Linked DNA regions of Cricetulus griseus. The protein of the gene in region 2 purifies or fractionates together with the protein of the main gene of each other region. This does not show direct contact. Links are inferred from orthologs where the notes say so. Each region holds a gene or a part of one and is shown on either strand. Other genes may lie near its edges.

Region 1 (3,970 bases), on a different chromosome or scaffold from region 2:
AGCCCAGGGCCCCTGAACTGACTTTGTGGATCAGAAGAGCCTGTCACTGTACTAAAGGCTCCTATGCAGCCTTCAGGAACTCATCAATTACAGCGGCTCCATGCCTCAGGACAGTCAACTGTTACCCCACAAGCTCCCAGGACCTCCGCTGTCCCAAGCGCCTCACCCTTACCTTGACATTCGGCATGTACTTTGAGAAGCGCTCGTATTCCTTGCTGATCTGAAAAGCCAACTCCCTAGTGTGACACATCACCAGCACAGACACCTTCAAGGGAACAAATGGAGACAACACCCTATCAGTCCTTTGTCACCCTCTCTCCAGAGTGACTGTCAACAGCAGCATCTGTCAAGTTATTTGTGACATCAAATCTGAGGTTTAAAACAGTAAGCCTTGCTGCTGTAAGCATTATGTAGCCACAAACAGCCTTCAGTGTATCGGCCTCAAAGCCCTCTGCAGCACTGCCTCAAACACACCTGCCCAGTGATTGGCTCCAGCTGCTGCAGTGTGGCCAGGACAAACACTGCTGTCTTCCCCATGCCTGACTTGGCCTGGCACAGGACATCCATCCCCAGAATGGCCTGTGGGATGCATTCATGCTGGACTAGAAGGAAAAAGGGGAGAAAGAGAGAGACTTTATGCACCATACCAAACCCCTTTCCTCGAGTTGATTCTCCAGATTTTGCCTGGTCCCTGTCACTTTTCAGACTGACCCATCCTCTCTGTCCCCTTAGTCACATTTACACCCAAATCAAGTCTCAACTGCATCCTAGCTTCAGGTTTCCCTGGCGCAAACCCTCTTGCACCTACCAACAGCTTACCTTCCATGTGCCTGGCATTCTATAACCTTGGACAAAATGAAGGACTTGGTACTTGCCCCAGAAGCCAGCAACTTTAGAGCAATCATTAAGACCCCAGGTGGCCTGGCCCAAAATACTGGATGTAAAACTCCAGCCAAACAGTCAGAAAGACGATCAAGCAAACAAGAAAACCTGGGCACAGGACAAACAGCATCCTGTGTGATCAAAGCTAACAAGCATCTTCTAGCGCTAACATCTGGGTACATTCTCATTGCCTGGCCTATATACCCTAAACACAAATCCCATCTTTAAGATGCATCATGAGGTCCCTATGCCCAACAATAAAATGTACCCTCTGATGGATGCTCAAAGCCACAGTCCACGATGGCCCGGAGCAACTCTGGCTTGAGCAGGAAGTCTCGAAAGCCGGAGCTGTGGATGGAGACGTAGGAGCCCTTCACGTCTTTCTTGGCAGGAGCTTCCGTCCCATCTCCACCTGCTGCTGTCTCCACCTCGTCGTCTTCATAGTCCAAGAGCTCATTGTCCACATCATTCTCTGCCATAATTGGGCCGGCAGGGGAGAAGGGAGGTCTTTGGGTGAGTGGTCCCAGAGAAGGTGAGAAAGCAAGGGGGAGAGAGGGGGCTGAGGAACAGCAAGGGAAGAGACACCAGTTTCCCGACAGAAGAGCTGGGAGAGAGAACAAAAAAAAAAAAAAAAAGAAGAGCTCATCAGTCACGTAGGGACTTCTCGCCCACCCTCACTTTCTTCGTGTTCTCCCTCAACTACAAACCTCTGCCCTGGAAGAAAAGTAAGAGAAAACGAACACCGGGCGAGAAAAAATGGAGAGTGGTCTCGGGTGTGACTGCTGGACAGACTTGGGCTCGCACTTTGACCCAAGAGGAGCAACTCCCGAGACCGTGAAAAGATGAGCCCGAAGCCACCCGCGGGAGGGTGACAATGCGTGGGACAGGAGGGGACCTCAGACTGCGCTCTCCCTGTGGCCCCACGGTGTTGGTCCCCCCAGCAGCCATCAGTCAAGGGTGATAGATGAAGGTCAGCACTGCGCGGAGCGCTCACTTCCCATTGCAAACATCACGTGGCTGCTACTTACTCCCCTGTCCAGCGGCACCTGCGTGCCGCGCTGGAGGCGCTCACCTGGGACCCCAGTCCTGGGGGAGCAGGAGCTGAAGGACGGAGGGCGGGGAGGCGGGCCCGCTGCACCTAACCGCGGGAGCAGGGGCGCCAGGGGCTCAAGGCCAAAAAGCAGGCAAACAACGCCAGAAGCCGGCAGCGCAGACAGTTACATTTTAATGCCTGCCCGGCCACGCGCGAGGCGCTCGCCACAAGGGTGGGCTTTCAAAGCCGCAGGCTCTCAGCTGGGGAAATGCAACCCTCAGGCTGGGACTTGGTGCCAAGCGGCCTTGACAGCGTCTGGCGCGCCCCAGCCTCGCTCCTCCCCGAAGGTGAGCATTCCGGGAGCGCCGACGCCGCAGCGGGCAAGCAGAGGCCCTGGCGGCTGCTCGTCCCCGCCGCGGGCCGCGCCGGGCCCGCCCTCCCGCCAGCGCCGCCTCCGGCCGCTGCGGCCCGCGCGGGAAGGGGACCCACGGGCCACCCAGGAAGCGGGGGACACAATGGCGGCCCGGGCCTCCATTTTGGATCGTCGCCCCCGTCTCCCCGCTCCCCACCGAGGTTCGCTCAGAAAGGGACGAAAACGACGGCACCGCGCGCCCGACCGAGCCGCAGCGGCCAGGCCGCCGCCCGGGCGACGGGTATCAGGGGCGCGCGCGCGGGCGCGGCGGGGCCGGAGCGGATGGCGGCGGATGGCGCGCAAGGCCCCAGCTTACCTAAGCACTGCGAGCGCGTATGGCGGCGGCGGCGGGGACGCAGGCGGGAACCTGCCTTCACTTCCGGTCCCGGGCGCTTTTCCCCCCCGGCCTGCCGCCTTCCCGGCCGCCAGGGCGCAGGCGCGCGATGCCGGAAACCGGAAGTCGGCAGCCGGAAGCCGGCGGTCCTGGAGGCTCCGGCCGCGCCCGCTCGGGGGTGCCTTCGGAAAAGGTCTTCCGACTCCGCCGCCGCCGCCGCCGGTGACCGGAGCGCGACGCGGGCTCGCACCTCCCCGCCCCCTCACCGCGGCGTCCTTCGTCCTTTCCCCGCAGGCTGCCCTCGGGCACCGCGGAGTCTGCGTGCCGAGCGGGACGCGTCCTCACGGCGCCCTTAGCCTGGCACCCAAGGTGACCTGAGGGTGCCGAGCTCAGTCAGGCTCCCGGGGCCGGGGGAGGTGGGGGGGCGGGCACGCCCTTCGCGGCTGCGCTGGGAACGAGCGGAGCTGCCCCAAATGGCGGCGGCAAGGCGGCCACTTAGGAGATGGAGGTTTGCATTCTGCCCGCGCGTTAACAAAATAAACGGTGCGTTTGAGGGCTTCGCAGCTTTCCATAGTTGTTGTCGTTATCATCGGTTTTCTCGAGACAGGGTTTCTCCGTGCGGCTTTGGAGCCTGTCCTGGCGCTCGCTCTGGAGACCAGGCTGGCCTCGAACTCACAGAGATCCGCCTGCCTCTGCCTCCCTAGTGCGGGGATTAACGCGTGCGCCACCAACGCGCGGCTCCATGGTTATTAATTAGGGCAGAGTGCTCTTAGTCCCACCACAGCGGCTCCATTGTTCAGCCTGGGCCTTCTTCCCCCTCTAAACACGTGGTTCTCCCTTCTTTGAGATGCTGCATACACGAGGAGCGATGTCCTGCCGACTATAAGCGCGAGCTTCCCCTGTTAGCACACTTTACTCAGCTGTTAAGTTGGCACCCTCGTCCGCAACCCTCAGCATCTGACAGCCGCCCCCCTCCCACCGCCTAGGAGTAGGTGGGGATTCCTCGGCCCCTGGTAAAGTAGGAAATGCTTTAGCTCCAGGGGCCTATGGCTTTGAAGTTCCCAGGAACTCTTGTAGTAAGCCAGACGGCAGGCTCTAGGCCACCTCTTTCTTCCTGTTGTTCCTAAAAGGCCAGGAAACACCCCTCGGGAGAGGCCTTTTATTGAACCTAACGTAGTAGCACTGAGGAGAGTAACATAGTGAGGTTTATCCCCGTTGAGCCCCCCAACTGAGTCAAACTTCTACTTTACAGCCTGCAAAGGATGTTTGCACCAACACAGCAAAGTCGTGCAAATCAAGGCTTGTGTTT
Region 2 (4,273 bases):
CCCAAGGGCGCTCCCCCTACCCTGTCTTCACCCATTTTCCACCTGCGGCACCCATTTCCCTGGCTCGCTCCAAAGGGCCCCATTTCCCAGCTGACGCCTCCCGCCTCCCCCACCCCCGGGTTGTGGCTCAGGCTGAGCTGTTGTTCACGAAGTAATGAACCGTCTTTCCCCTCGAGGCTGCAGCCAGCACCTGTCGCAGGCTCACCTCCTCCCCAGGGAGTCCTGGTCCAAGGGGTGGGGCGCTGTGGTGCTTTGGGGTCCTTACTCTGCCTTTCCTCCCTAGGACAAGTCTGTATGTATCCTCGGTATTATATGCTTTAGGTTCTTAACATCAGACGAGAAACAGATAAGGCACTTGAGAACCCTTTGCAAGTGACAGATAGAGGCGCGCGGGGCGGGGGAGGGCTTTCCCGGCTAGACCTCTAAGCGTGTGTATAGAATGAACCTGGCTGGGAGAAAGAGGAAGAGGGTGGTGACGGCTTGGGCGGGCAACCCAACAATTCTTCTGGCAGGTTTTAAAAGCCTCATTTTAAAGAGGAACAGTCTATCTCCTAAGAAGTTATGGGACTCGCTCCTTTTTTTCCCCTTTAGATCTGAGTATGCCACAAGTGGTGGCAACTGAGCCAGAGTCCACCCTACACCTCATACAAACACCTCGGGCCTAAAAAGGGGCTGGTGCCTTCAGAGAGCCAGCTGGAAGCTGTACTGGGGAGACAGCTGATGGCCTGGGTAGAGAGAATGGGGAATCTAGAGGGACCAGAAAGGAAGAGGTAAGAGGAGCACCAGGGGCACTGAGTCACAAGAAGGATGTTCAAGATGGAGCATAAGGGTATTGGTTGCAAATGCAGGGAAGTCAGAAGGTGGCTGCCCATCCAGGAAACTCAGGCCTCTATAGGGACCATACTGCGTAAAAAGAGGGCACGCACCCTGCTGCCAACCCTGGCCCTAGGGCTTGTGTTCTTTGCTGAGCAAGAGACTTTTCGAGAGATTTTTCTCCCGAGCATACTGGCACAGGTGTGTAATCTCAGCACTCAGGAGGCTGAGACAGGAGGATCTTGAGTTCCAGGACAGCTTGGGCTATGTAGTGGGATTTAAAGAATGGAGCTGGTCCTCCCCGAGTGTGTTGTGGGGGTGGACAGTGTCCCGCACAGAGGCTCCGCCTGTCCAGGCGTGCCGGCCGTATTTGGACATTTCATTCTATTTTTAACTTTCCCGGGACTCGAGGTTGGGGGTGGGGAGGGAAATCCTGCTTCCTCGGTGACCCACGGGCTTCAGCCCTGGTCTCTCGCGGGGTGCCTGGCCCCGTGTTGTAGACACGAGCCCGGAAGTGAGTTCCGGGGCCGTGTAGACGCGGCGGCCGCGCGGGTTCCGGGCCCCACCCTGGAACTAACGACGTTCCTCCTGGAAAACCTGACTCAGGCGGAGCCCGCGGCACGCAGGAGGCCCCGCCCCTCGCGCGCCCCCTCTTAGGTCCCGCGCCCCCTCCCACCCAGCCCGGGTTAGGCCGGCTGCAGAGGGACCCCGAGGTCGAGGCTCTGAGCCCCAGAAGCCGCGGGGCCTGCGGGGAGGGGGCGGTGTGGAGGGGGGCGGGCCGGGCCGGCCCCTCCCTCGCTGACGCCGCGGCCAAGCCCCGACCAAGAACGCGGGCAGCGGAGCGGGGCGCCAGGTCGGGCAGGATGCGCTACCGGGCGTCGGTGAGCAGGGGCGCGGACGGGGTGGGGGTCCTGGGTGTCGCTCGGTAGCCTGCAGCGCCTCCTGGGCTGGCCAGGAAGCAGACGCGGCCCAGGAATTTTGGTGGAAAACGTCTCTGAAAGTTGCTAGGGTAGGAGGCCGAGGCCGAGAAGGCTACAGCACGCTCGGACCCAGGGCCATGCGCGTCGCCCCTGGTGACAAGGGGGTGGTAGCTGCAGCTGGCCGTGTTTGGTAGCAGCTTTGGGGTGGGTGGGTGAGTAGTGGGCAGGTGTAAGGGAGGCAGACCCCAGGCTCTTAGGAGTGACCTAAGAACAGAGACTTGCTCCTGGGCAACTAGGGTCAGGGGAGACTTGGTGAGCCCCCCTACTCCCAATATCTTCCTTGACCCTTAGCAACCTCTAGAACCCGCAGACCCTCTTTAAAGGGAAACCTTATCCTTGGACATGGCATGAGGGTCTAGCTATGCTTGTACCTGCCCCACCCTTGGGTGGCAGCTGGGTTTTCCCCTGTTACAACCCCCCACCTCCTGAGGCTTCTCAACCGTGGAGGAACTGTTTGGGTAGCCTAGCAGCTGGAGTGGAGGGAGTGGCTCCAGCTGAGGGAGGGCAGGCCACCCCCTTCTGGGGTGGGTGGCAAATCCAGCTGGGGTGGTGGCCCATGGAGAAACCCTCTCCTGGGAGGTGAGCTCTTGCTTGATCCCTGGGGATTTGGGGTCGGTGGGAGCAGGAGAAATGGCCTGTCCCTGTCTGCAGAATTCACTCTGAACCATTTGTCCTCCAAAGCACCTGTAATACATAGCTGAGGGATTTGAGGTCACCTGAACTAACTCACTCCTCTTCGTGAGGAGGAAGCAGTCCTGAGAAAGGAGAATTGTCCAAGGTCAACACAGCATTCTTTCTGCCATTCCTCAGAACTCCTTCTCCTGGCCCACCTTTCTCCATAAAAAAAACCACACCTCTCTGAATTCCATGCACTTGTTCAGCATCTGCTGGGTCCCTGGCGCTCCTGGAGACTTTGTGCATGCCCCATGTGCCCTGTGTGACCCAGCCATATGTCCCAAACATGTCCTGTAGCCTGTGTCCAAGTGCCTCTGCCTCCCACATCCTGCAGGCGGGGTAGGAGACGTGGCCTTGCTTTAACCTGCAGACTCTGACTTTGTCTGGTGGCTGGTTCTCCACAGGCCCTGGGCAGCGACGGGGTGCGAGTGACCATGGAGAGTGCCTTGACTGCCCGGGACCGGGTTGGGGTGCAGGACTTTGTTCTGCTGGAGAACTTCACCAGTGAGGCTGCCTTCATCGAGAACCTCCGGCGGCGATTCCGGGAGAACCTCATTTATGTGAGAGCTATGGGTGGTGCTGGGGTGAAGGAAGTACCAGGAGCCTTCAGGAAAAGCTGCTGACCCTTCTCTGTCCCCCAGACCTACATCGGCCCTGTCCTGGTCTCTGTCAACCCCTACCGAGACCTACAGATCTATAGCCGGCAGCATATGGAACGCTACCGTGGGGTCAGCTTCTATGAAGTGCCTCCTCATCTGTAAGTGTTTCTCTTACCTTTCCAGGAATGACCTCCCCTAGCATCAAGCAAGATGACCCCACCCAACCCCCACTCTGACATGATTCCTGACCCCTGCCTTGGGTGACTCACTGTTCACAGCTGTGAGGAATCCCGTGATGGTTCACCCCAGAGTTACCTCAGTTCTCAGTAGATGAGACTCTGGATCCTGTCCTCCAGGACCCTCAGGTCGCACCCATGACTTATTCCTTTAACTATTTTAACATGTTCCACCTGGCTAGCACCCCACCTGAAGTGATCCTTTCAGACCTCTATGTGAGAGTGAACCTGGCCCTATCCTCAGCTGTGCAGGTCTACCCTGTAAGGAATTCCCACCCCCCACTCCCCCCACCCCCACATTTTATAAGCATGGTCCGATCAGCTATGGGTGGGACTTCCGCACCCTGTGGACTCCCTGACAAACCTCTGCCCCAGGTTTGCAGTGGCTGATACTGTGTACCGAGCCCTTCGTACTGAGCGGCGGGACCAGGCAGTGATGATTTCTGGGGAGAGTGGGGCAGGCAAGACAGAGGCCACCAAGAGACTGCTACAGTTTTATGCAGAGACCTGTCCAGCTCCTGAGAGGGGTGGTGCAGTGCGGGACCGGCTGCTGCAGAGCAATCCTGTGCTGGAGGTGAGGGGATGGTAGCAGCATTTAAGGAGAGGGCAGGACAAGCTGAAAATGCCAGGCTTCCTCACATTCCCATCCACTCCCAGGCCTTTGGAAATGCCAAGACCCTCCGTAATGATAACTCCAGCCGGTTTGGGAAGTACATGGATGTGCAGTTTGACTTCAAGGTACCTGTGGGTGTATTGAAGCATTCGGAGGGGTTGGGTGTGCTGTTCAGTAGGTTCAGTATTTGTTGAGTATCCACTATGGGCCAGGCGCTCTTCCCGCTGCTGCTGCTCTTCCCGCTGCTGCTGCAGTGAAATCAAACAGATCTTGTCTCCTGGAGTGACAGGTGATAAGCAGAAACGCAATAATTTAGGCTTAGCAGAAAATAAGGTAAAGGTTGGAGCTGCTGCAAGT
Region 3 (4,114 bases), on a different chromosome or scaffold from region 2:
TAGGCAAAACACTCATGCACATAAAATACATAAATCTTTAAAAAGATTAATTCAATTTAAATCAAAAGAGGAGTTGGGGCATGGTGGTACAAGACTACAATCCTAGCAACCAGAAACCCCTCACTTGGGAGGCTAAAGCAGAGTTAAAGAACTCAAGGACAACATGGGCTGTGTCACAGACACTACAGCTCAGTAGTACAGCTAGCACTTAAGTTAGCACATGCAAGGCCTTGGTTTCCATCCCTGGTATCACAATTCCTTGTTCTTCCCTTAATTTATTTACAATGACATGGCTGAAGGAGCACTAGATTGCAATCCCAACTCTCATCATTTACACTCAGAGTGCATGACCTTTAACACACCAACTTCAATTCTCTCAGGCCCACTCAGCAAGCAGACAGGAGACCTAGACACCTCTAAGACTCATTTCAGCTCAGAGACGATACGGCATACCTGATCAAAAATACCTACATGGAGGCCAGGCATCAGCAGTGTACTCCTTTAATCCCAAAACTTAGGAGGTAGAGACAGGCAGATCTATGTGAGTTTAAGGCCACTCTGGTCCACATAATGAGTTCCAGACCTGACAGGGCTATACTGTGAGAGAAAGAAAAAGAAAAAGAGAAAAAAAATAAAAAGCCTACACCGGCTATAGTCAACAGTGAGGTTAAGTGCAGAGAATCTGGGTTCAATTCCCAGCATCTACATGTCAGCTCACAATCATCTGTAACTCCAGTTCCAGTGGATCCAATCCTCTCTTTTGACCTCCCGAGAGGAACCAGAAACACAAATGGTACACAGATACACATACAGACAAAACATCCATACAGATAAAATTAAGGTGAACACTATGATTCAGAACTGATGCTAACTAAAATGAAGGTGTCCTGGCTGCTGTTGGGGTTAAGGGTTATAAGCCCAGCTTTGGGGGGGGTGATCACCTGAACCAAAAAGTTCAAAGCCAGCCTCAGTAATTTTAATGATGCCCTGACTTAAAATAAAGACAGAGGGCTATGGATGTAGGTGCAAGGCCCTAGGTGCAATCCCCCAATATGGAGGAGTGGAAGGGGAGTGAAATTATCCTAATGATTCAAAACACTACGTTAAAGCCAAGATGAAGCTGAGCAGGTGGACATCAGCAATCCCCACACTTGGGAGGTTGAGGGAGGGGAACTGGGCATTCAAGGTCAAGCTTCCAAAACATAAGTTAGAAGTCATCCCAAGCTACAAGAAAATTAAATGTGAATGAAGCAAGGGCCAAGAGTAAATTGAAATAGTTCACCAGAACCCTTTCTGATCTACAGGTACAGCAGAAATCACAACAAAGGTCTAGTCTTTTCAAAGGAAACGGGATGATAAAAGTAGCAGTACATGTAAGTTTGATACGGAAACCTTTCTTTTTTAAAAAACAAGCTGACAGGCGGTGGTGGCAGGTGGATCTCAGTGAGTTCAAGAACAGCCTGGTCTACAGGGCAAGTTCCAGGGCAGCCAGGGGTGTTAGACAGAGAAACCCTCTCTCAAAACAAAACAAAGAATAAGCCTTAAAAGATTCATCGGACATTTCCCCCACCCTGCAAAAAAGAGATACGACTTTTAATTAACAGGCTATGCTTGGTGAAGAAATCATAGCAAAGATTAGAAATGCAGAGACTTCCTAATTTAAAGCATCAGTTTCACATTCCTAAAACAAAAACGTTAAGGATGTCTCAGTATTTTTCCTACTTTTAACTGTACTGATTGATGGCACAGGCTTGTAAGGTTGACCAGGCTGAGTGAGGCAGGATTACTTCGAGCTATGCAATTGGTTCAAAGAGAGAGTGAGCATCGTAAGAAATTGTCTCAATCAATCAATCAATGAGTAAGTGAATAAATAGATTAGAAAAAGAAGGAAAGAAAGCAAGACAGCTGGAGAGGAGGGAGGAGGAAGCCGGAGGATCAGGAATGCAGGTCCAGTCTAGACTGTATACCGAGTTCGAGGCCAGTCTAATCTACACAAAGCATTCTATCAAAAAAGAAAAATGAAACTTCTAAATTTCAAACCTGTTTGTTCTCTGGAAAAGAAAAGGGCACCAGTACCATCAAGGTACCTTTCAGCTCCCTCCCACATTCAGTGGGTGAGAAGTTAATGCCAGGTTTTGTGATTTACGGTTCTGTCAGTTTATCCCTGGCCTAAAGTCCACTCCGCAGGGGAAAAACAAAACCCACAACCCTCACCGGTATGCCCGCACAGCGCAGACAAGACGCAGTGGAGGCTTGTGCAAGCCGGATCACGCGGCCGCGCCGGTACAATTTCAAAAACTTAACTTGACGGTTTCATTTATATGAGAGGAGAGAAATAAAATGCGCGTCGGAAACCCGGCTTCCCTCCCCTAGTCACTGAGGGCCCGAGGCCAAGTTGGGGAGGAGGGAATTGGAGCTGCGATCGTCACCGCGGCCCCGGGGACAAAGTAAGAGGGAAAGGATGGAGGCGCGCGGTTCCGGGAAGGACGGCTGCAGACGGCCGGGGCCGGGTGGGTTCCGGCGCGCACATCGCGGCCCGGAGAGACAGGGCCCGGGCACCGCGGCCCGCGGATGGCCCGGTGCCGTGACAGCTGCCCCGGAGCCGCGCGCGGCCCGTCCGCATCTCGCCATCCCCATCGCTCGCCCTGCGCAGCCGCGGCCGGGCGTCCACACGGCGCGGAGGAAAAGGATACTCCCGGGTGCGGAAGGCCTCCTGAGTGTGCGGGATGGTGAAGAGCGGCTCCTCTCCCGGCAGCGGCTTCACCAGCGGGAAGGGCTTGCGGCCCAGCAGCGGCGCCATCGCGGCGGCGGCGGCGGCGGCGGGGACGGAGCGCCGGAGGCTTGGCCGCTCCGCCGCGCAGAGCTAGGCCCCGGCGGCTCCGAGCGGGCGAGCGAGCAGGCGGGCGAGCAAAGCGCCTGGCTCCCGGGGCGATGGGGGAGGGGAGGGGTGAGAGGGCGGCGCGAACTCCGGCTTCCCTCAGAGCTGGCGGGACCGCGCCACGGCCATGGGAGCCAGAGGGACGACGCGAGGGGAGGAAACCGAGAGGTTCTCCTCGCTCCTTCCGGCGGCTTTCACCTCACGCCGATCTCCGCCGCGGCGGCCTCTAGTCACGACTCCTCTCTAGCGGGCACGGGAGGAAATTATTGAAAAATGGCGGGAGATTCCCTTCCTCCCCCCGCTGCCGGGCCAGCGCACACACTAACTTGCTCCTCCGTGGCGCCCTGGGACGGACGCTCCCACAGGCGGAGGGCTGGTCGCCGTTCACAGCCTATTGGCTCAGAGCGGCTGCCGCTCCGCGCCCCGGGCCCGCCCCCCGGGCCCCAGCCGTGTAGTTTGGTTGCGGCGCACTAGAGGGCAGTCTGGAGAGGTGAAAGGTCACGTTATGTAAGAGCCCGTGACTGGCGTGCCCGCCTCCAGTGGCGGACTTAAAAAGTAATGGCACAGTGAGGAAGGGGGGAGGACGAAGGTGGAGGACTCCAAGAAGTCAGAGCAGAAAGCCCTGTCACAGACACAGACATTGCGCCATCTGTCACCGACGGCGACACCGACATCCGGGCACCCACTGTCCGTGTGGCGCGCCGGAAGGGGGAGGGGGAGCGCGCGGCCAGGGGCTTTGTCTTTCCACTCGAGCTCCGCCCCCTTCTTAAAGGGGCCGTGCTCGGCCACGCCCGGGAAAACGCGGGTGGAGCTGTGCTGGGCGGGAAGTAACTGAGGCCCTCCCCAAACGTTAGGCTTTAGGGCGACTGGGAGCCCAATCTCGCTCAACCATCGATGTTGTCGCGAAACGGGTGTTAGCAGTTGGCCTGTTTCTAAGGAATTACAGGCAAGGGTAATGTAGAAGTTTCTTTTAAAATGTGTGCAAGAAGGGGCTGGAGAGATGGTTCAGCAGTTAAGAGCACTGGCTGCTCTTGCAGAGGACCCGGGTTTGATTCCCAGAACCCACATGGTAGCTCACAACTGTCTGTAACTCCAGCTCCAAGAGATCTGACACCTTCACGGTAATGCACATAAAATAAATGAGTTAAATAAATTAAAAAAAAGAAAAATTAAAGAACGTTAGTTGGGAGGGGAGGAGGGGAAGGAGTGGGAGCTAGGATTGACATGTAAAATAAT
Region 4 (4,269 bases), on a different chromosome or scaffold from region 2:
TTTGAGGCCAGCCTGGTCTCCAGAGCAAGTGCCAAGATAGGCTTCAAAGCTACACAGAGAAACCCTGTCTCGAAAAACAAAACAAAACAAAACAAAACAAAAAAAAAATGCATTCGTCCTGACATTTAAATGCTACAAGGAAATACAAAACCTCCAACCTAGTTTAACTTACAAAATCCCTGTCAGCACACATTAGAGGTAAAGCACACCCTACAATAATATGTGCTTTCCAACTGCAGACATTACTTTCATAATTTAGTGTCTTCTTTTTCTAACTGCAAAAACTACTTAAGGTCATCAGATACATTAGGCAAGTGTCCAAAACTCAAACTTAATTCTAATTCTACATTCAGCTAACACAGTGGAAAGCAGACTGAAGGTAATAGTCTTAAAAAGACAATAAAATTAACTACAACATTAATAGAAAAGAAAATGAGTGAATACGACTGAGAAAAACAAACTATTGATATTTTTCAATATGTAAAATCGTCAAACTTAAAAAAATGACAGGCCAAGATGTGTGGAAAAGGCTTATTATGGAAACAGATCACACTTCTGTCACATGCTCTATCCAGAAGACGCAGTTTTCTCCTCTGATGAACGAAAATACCACTTATTTCATATCGTAGGTGTTATCTTATTCATGCCTATATTTAAATTTTAATTGAAAGACAGAAACTCAAAAATTAATTTCATTTGGGTTTTAAGTTCTCTTTAGGACTTGTAAATAGAAATGACACCTATTGTGGAAATGTGTGACTCAAGTTACCGCAGAGCAGAATCTGCAAAGCTTAGGCAAGCAAGTGCATCTCTCTGGGGTGAATTGTACATTTACAAATAATTTCCTTCAATGTTTTTGGTGTCCAGACTTCAAGCAGAAATCCAACAATCCAGTTAAACAACTCTACAAGTTCAAAAGACCACTTAAAATCTTATTTAAGGGGCATAAATACATTTTTTGTTTTTGTAGATAGGGTTTCTCTTTGTAGCCCTGGCTGTACTGGAATTCACTCTGTAAACCGGGCTGGCCTCGAACTCAGAAATCCGCTCGCCTCTGCCTTCGGAGTGCTGGGATCAAAGGTGTGCCCACCACTGCCTGGCATCAAATACATTTTAAAATGAAACTTCACTTCAAATTGATGCACTACACTAACACCCCCCACACACACTAAAAGTGATTTCAAAGACTAGCAACACATTATTTCATCCAAGTGATGCAACTGCACCATCATTTCCTTATAGTGTAAATTCTGCAGCAAGGTTCATCTTTAGAGTATTATTCCAATATAAGTGCAGAAATTCTCAGACTGAACTATAGAACAGCACAAAACAAGTCCAAGGCCAAGAATAAAAACTAGAAGCAGTATCTTTGTTCCCAGGCAACTCAAAGCCTGGGAGCATATCCAAGAGACCTGTCTGGCAACTCCCCCATTTTTCCACCCTCTCCCCCATTTCCAGCATTGTCATCATCATCTGGCCCACTCGAGTCCCAGATGGTGGTTCAACGGCGAATTGTCTGAATGGCTTTAACAGGAGGTAATTCGCTGGGCTAGTAGCCCACCGCCCTCCCCCGATGCTCCCATTCATTCATTCATCCGTCCGTCCACCAACCCCTAATTAGATGGGGATCCGGGACAGGTGCTGCGGCTGTCACGCTGGCTCGCTCGCTCGCTCTCCTCCCGGTAGAGCGGGGCTCGGGAGGGGCCTCCCCTTGCTGCAGAGGCAGCTGCGCCCCGCTCATCCCCACTGCGCATTCGGCCCTCCAGCTCTCGCCATTGTTTCTGCCCACGACAGACAGATGCCGCCCCCGCCAGCACCGGGATGGGGCACTGGAGGCCCAAAGTCCCCGGCTGCGTGCGACGCTGACAAACGTCGCGCTCGCCCCGTGAATTCCACGGCGAAGGGGCCAGCTCCCTCGCCCTTCCCCAAAGTTTAGTGCAAACTAAAACCCAGATCCGGGGGAAACAGAGCCCTTCTGAGGGCGTCTAACGCTGGGGGAAACCGGGTCCCTCGACCACGGTAATCAGGAACATGTGTTTCCTAAGAGCGGTCGGCGAGCCGCCTAGGCTACTACGCGGAGGGAAACGCAGAGGTGAGGGAGGCAGACTCAGCGCCAGCGAGCGGGCAAGCGAGCATCCATCTCCCTCCCTCCTTCCCTCCCTGCGCGCACGCCCGCCCGCCGTGCTCACCTCCATGTCGGCGTCCGCGGGGCCCGCGCCCCCCGCACACGATGGAGCCGCAGGCGCCGCCACGGCCTCGGGGCCGCCTTTGTTGCCGCCGCCGCCGCTGCTGCTGCTGCTGCTCCCGCCGGCGCCCGCGGCCGCGGCCTTGGGAGGCGCGCTCTCGGGAGGCGGGGGCGGCGGAGGCTCGGCCGCCGACGACGACGACATGTTCCGGCTGCGTCACCCGCCGCGGCCACGGGCAGGCGCGGCGCGGAGGGAAGCGAAGCGGCCTGGGCCGGCCGGCCTGCCTGCTCGACTCTGGCGCCCGGGCCGACCGAGGAGCGAGCCCCGGCCGGAAGTTCTCACGCGCGGCGGCTCCGCCACCGACCCGAGCCGGCCCTGCCGCGGAGCTCGCCCCGACCTCCTCTTCCGCGGGACCCGGCTCCGCTCCACTCCGCCGGCGTTGACTTCACGGCGGGAATCACGTCGACGAGGGTGGGCGGGGCCAGCGGGGTCACGGAGGTCAGGGAGGGCGGGCTGACTCCGGGGAGACCGAGGGCTGAGGGCAGGGGAAAGGAAAGCGAAAGGTTCTGCGCGGCGTCCGGGCGCCTTCTCCTCGCCCCGCGTAGGTTCTCTTCTCCAACCACCGGGACAGCCGCCTACGCCACCCGCTCTCAACCCTCGCGAGATCGCTAGTCCTCTCCCTCCCCCCACCCTTCAGCGGCCGGATCGCGAGAGCGCATGCGCTTGCTCCTCCTGGGCCCCGCCTCCTCCAGCCCGCCCCCGAACTGCGGGGGGGGGGAGTGGGCGGGGCCTCGAGGAAGCGCGTCGGCGTAGGTTTGCGAAGGTGTGCGTGACGCGAGCTGGGCGCTTCTTAACGGCTCTTCGGCTCTCGCCGCGCCACAGAAGCCGGCCTGGGAGCGGCGCGACAGCCCGGGGACTGGCCTTCACCGTCGCGCCGCCGTCGCTCACGGCCAGACGTCACAGGTTCCCTCCAGTGACGTCGGACGTCCAAGAAAAAAATGCCCGCCCCATCAGCCATCCCACCCTTCCAGAGTTTATGGACTGCGAGCCTGTGAGATCCGGAATGGCAATAGCTGGGGACAAACGATGGCGTGTATTTTTTCCACGAGCATCAAAGAAAAATGTGCGTTTTTGTCTGCTTAAGAAATGTTTGTCAGGGGGCTGGAGAGATGGCTCAGTGGTTAAGAGCATTGGCTGCTCTTCCAGAGAACCTGAGTTCAATTAATTCCCAGCACCCACATGGCAGCTCACAACTGTCTACAACTCCAGTTTCAGGAGATGAACACCAATGCACAAAAAATGAATTTAAATAAATTATTTTTTTAAAAAAGTGTTTGTCAAGTATGTAACGCACGCCTTTAATCCCAGCACTTGGGAGGCAGAGGCAGGTGGATCTCTGAGAGTTTGAGCCCAGCCTGGTGTACAGAACGAGTCCCAGGACAGTCAGGGCTACACAGTGAGGCCTTGTCTCAAAAACTAAAAAAGAAAAAATTCTTAGCCAGGCGGTGGTGACAGAGAAGCCCTGCCTCTAAAAATTATTGGTGTTGCTTCTGCTTAGGCTGTGGTGGAGGCTCTGAGGCCTTGTGTCCTCTCCTGTGTCACCCACCTACTTCCCATTCATGACTTAGTGGCCACCAATATTGAATAAATGAAGTCCTTTCAAGAGTTAACTAAAACATGTTGAATTTCAAATCTCTTGGAATAAATAACATATGTAACACGAATGTTTGAACTAGTCGAATAATTCTCTAATAAAAACTCTCTGGAAGTAAGTGCTTCTGAAAGCTGCAGTTGTAGGTCAGTTGGTGGGATGCTTGCAGAACATACTGCTTGCAAACATCCTGGGCTTGAGCCCCAGCCCATTTTGATCCAGTGTGGTGATGCATGCCCAGAATCCCAACACTTGGGGAAGTGGAGACAGGGGGTCCACAGTTGGCTGCTAGACCAGTCTGGACTAAATGAGATCTTATCTCCAAAAATTTGTAAACAGAAACAAAATATTTCTAGTATATAACAATGCTTACATATCTATATGATTAAATTCAATAATTCTCATAATCCATACTTATTGGCAAAAAGCTTA

What was found. Proteins that work in one complex are often made in the same cells at the same time.
Region 1: the proteins of Myo1c (region 2) and Ddx39b purify together in Homo sapiens (affinity purification with mass spectrometry; 5 studies listed by BioGRID and IntAct, with this or other methods). This does not show direct contact. The link is inferred for Cricetulus griseus from reciprocal best matches to the Homo sapiens genes MYO1C and DDX39B.
Region 3: the proteins of Myo1c (region 2) and Baz1b purify together in Homo sapiens (affinity purification with western blotting; 3 studies listed by BioGRID, with this or other methods). This does not show direct contact. The link is inferred for Cricetulus griseus from reciprocal best matches to the Homo sapiens genes MYO1C and BAZ1B.
Region 4: the proteins of Myo1c (region 2) and Smarca5 purify together in Homo sapiens (affinity purification with western blotting; 3 studies listed by BioGRID, with this or other methods). This does not show direct contact. The link is inferred for Cricetulus griseus from reciprocal best matches to the Homo sapiens genes MYO1C and SMARCA5.

Annotation. Positions count from the first base shown.
Region 1 is NW_023276806.1:231,768,495-231,772,464, reverse strand, and holds the start of Ddx39b (spliceosome RNA helicase DDX39B), read right to left. Parts: upstream 2,801-3,970; 5' UTR 2,644-2,800; intron 1,978-2,643; exon of another isoform or gene 1,955-1,977; intron 1,901-1,954; exon of another isoform or gene 1,825-1,900; intron 1,487-1,824; 5' UTR 1,362-1,486; coding exon 1,151-1,361; intron 603-1,150; coding exon 475-602; intron 266-474; coding exon 173-265; intron 1-172. UniProt on the Homo sapiens protein: Involved in nuclear export of spliced and unspliced mRNA. Component of the TREX complex which is thought to couple mRNA transcription, processing and nuclear export, and specifically associates with spliced mRNA and not with unspliced pre-mRNA.
Region 2 is NC_048600.1:89,118,052-89,122,324, forward strand, and holds the start of Myo1c (unconventional myosin-Ic), read left to right. Parts: upstream 1-1,473; 5' UTR 1,474-1,676; coding exon 1,677-1,694; intron 1,695-2,872; coding exon 2,873-3,028; intron 3,029-3,109; coding exon 3,110-3,225; intron 3,226-3,678; coding exon 3,679-3,877; intron 3,878-3,960; coding exon 3,961-4,041; intron 4,042-4,273.
Region 3 is NC_048597.1:114,267,357-114,271,470, reverse strand, and holds the start of Baz1b (tyrosine-protein kinase BAZ1B), read right to left. Parts: upstream 2,801-4,114; coding exon 2,694-2,800; intron 1-2,693. UniProt on the Homo sapiens protein: Atypical tyrosine-protein kinase that plays a central role in chromatin remodeling and acts as a transcription regulator. Involved in DNA damage response by phosphorylating 'Tyr-142' of histone H2AX (H2AXY142ph).
Region 4 is NC_048596.1:156,511,675-156,515,943, forward strand, and holds the start of Smarca5 (SWI/SNF-related matrix-associated actin-dependent regulator of chromatin subfamily A member 5), read right to left. Parts: upstream 2,801-4,269; 5' UTR 2,391-2,800; coding exon 2,190-2,390; intron 1-2,189. UniProt on the Homo sapiens protein: ATPase that possesses intrinsic ATP-dependent nucleosome-remodeling activity.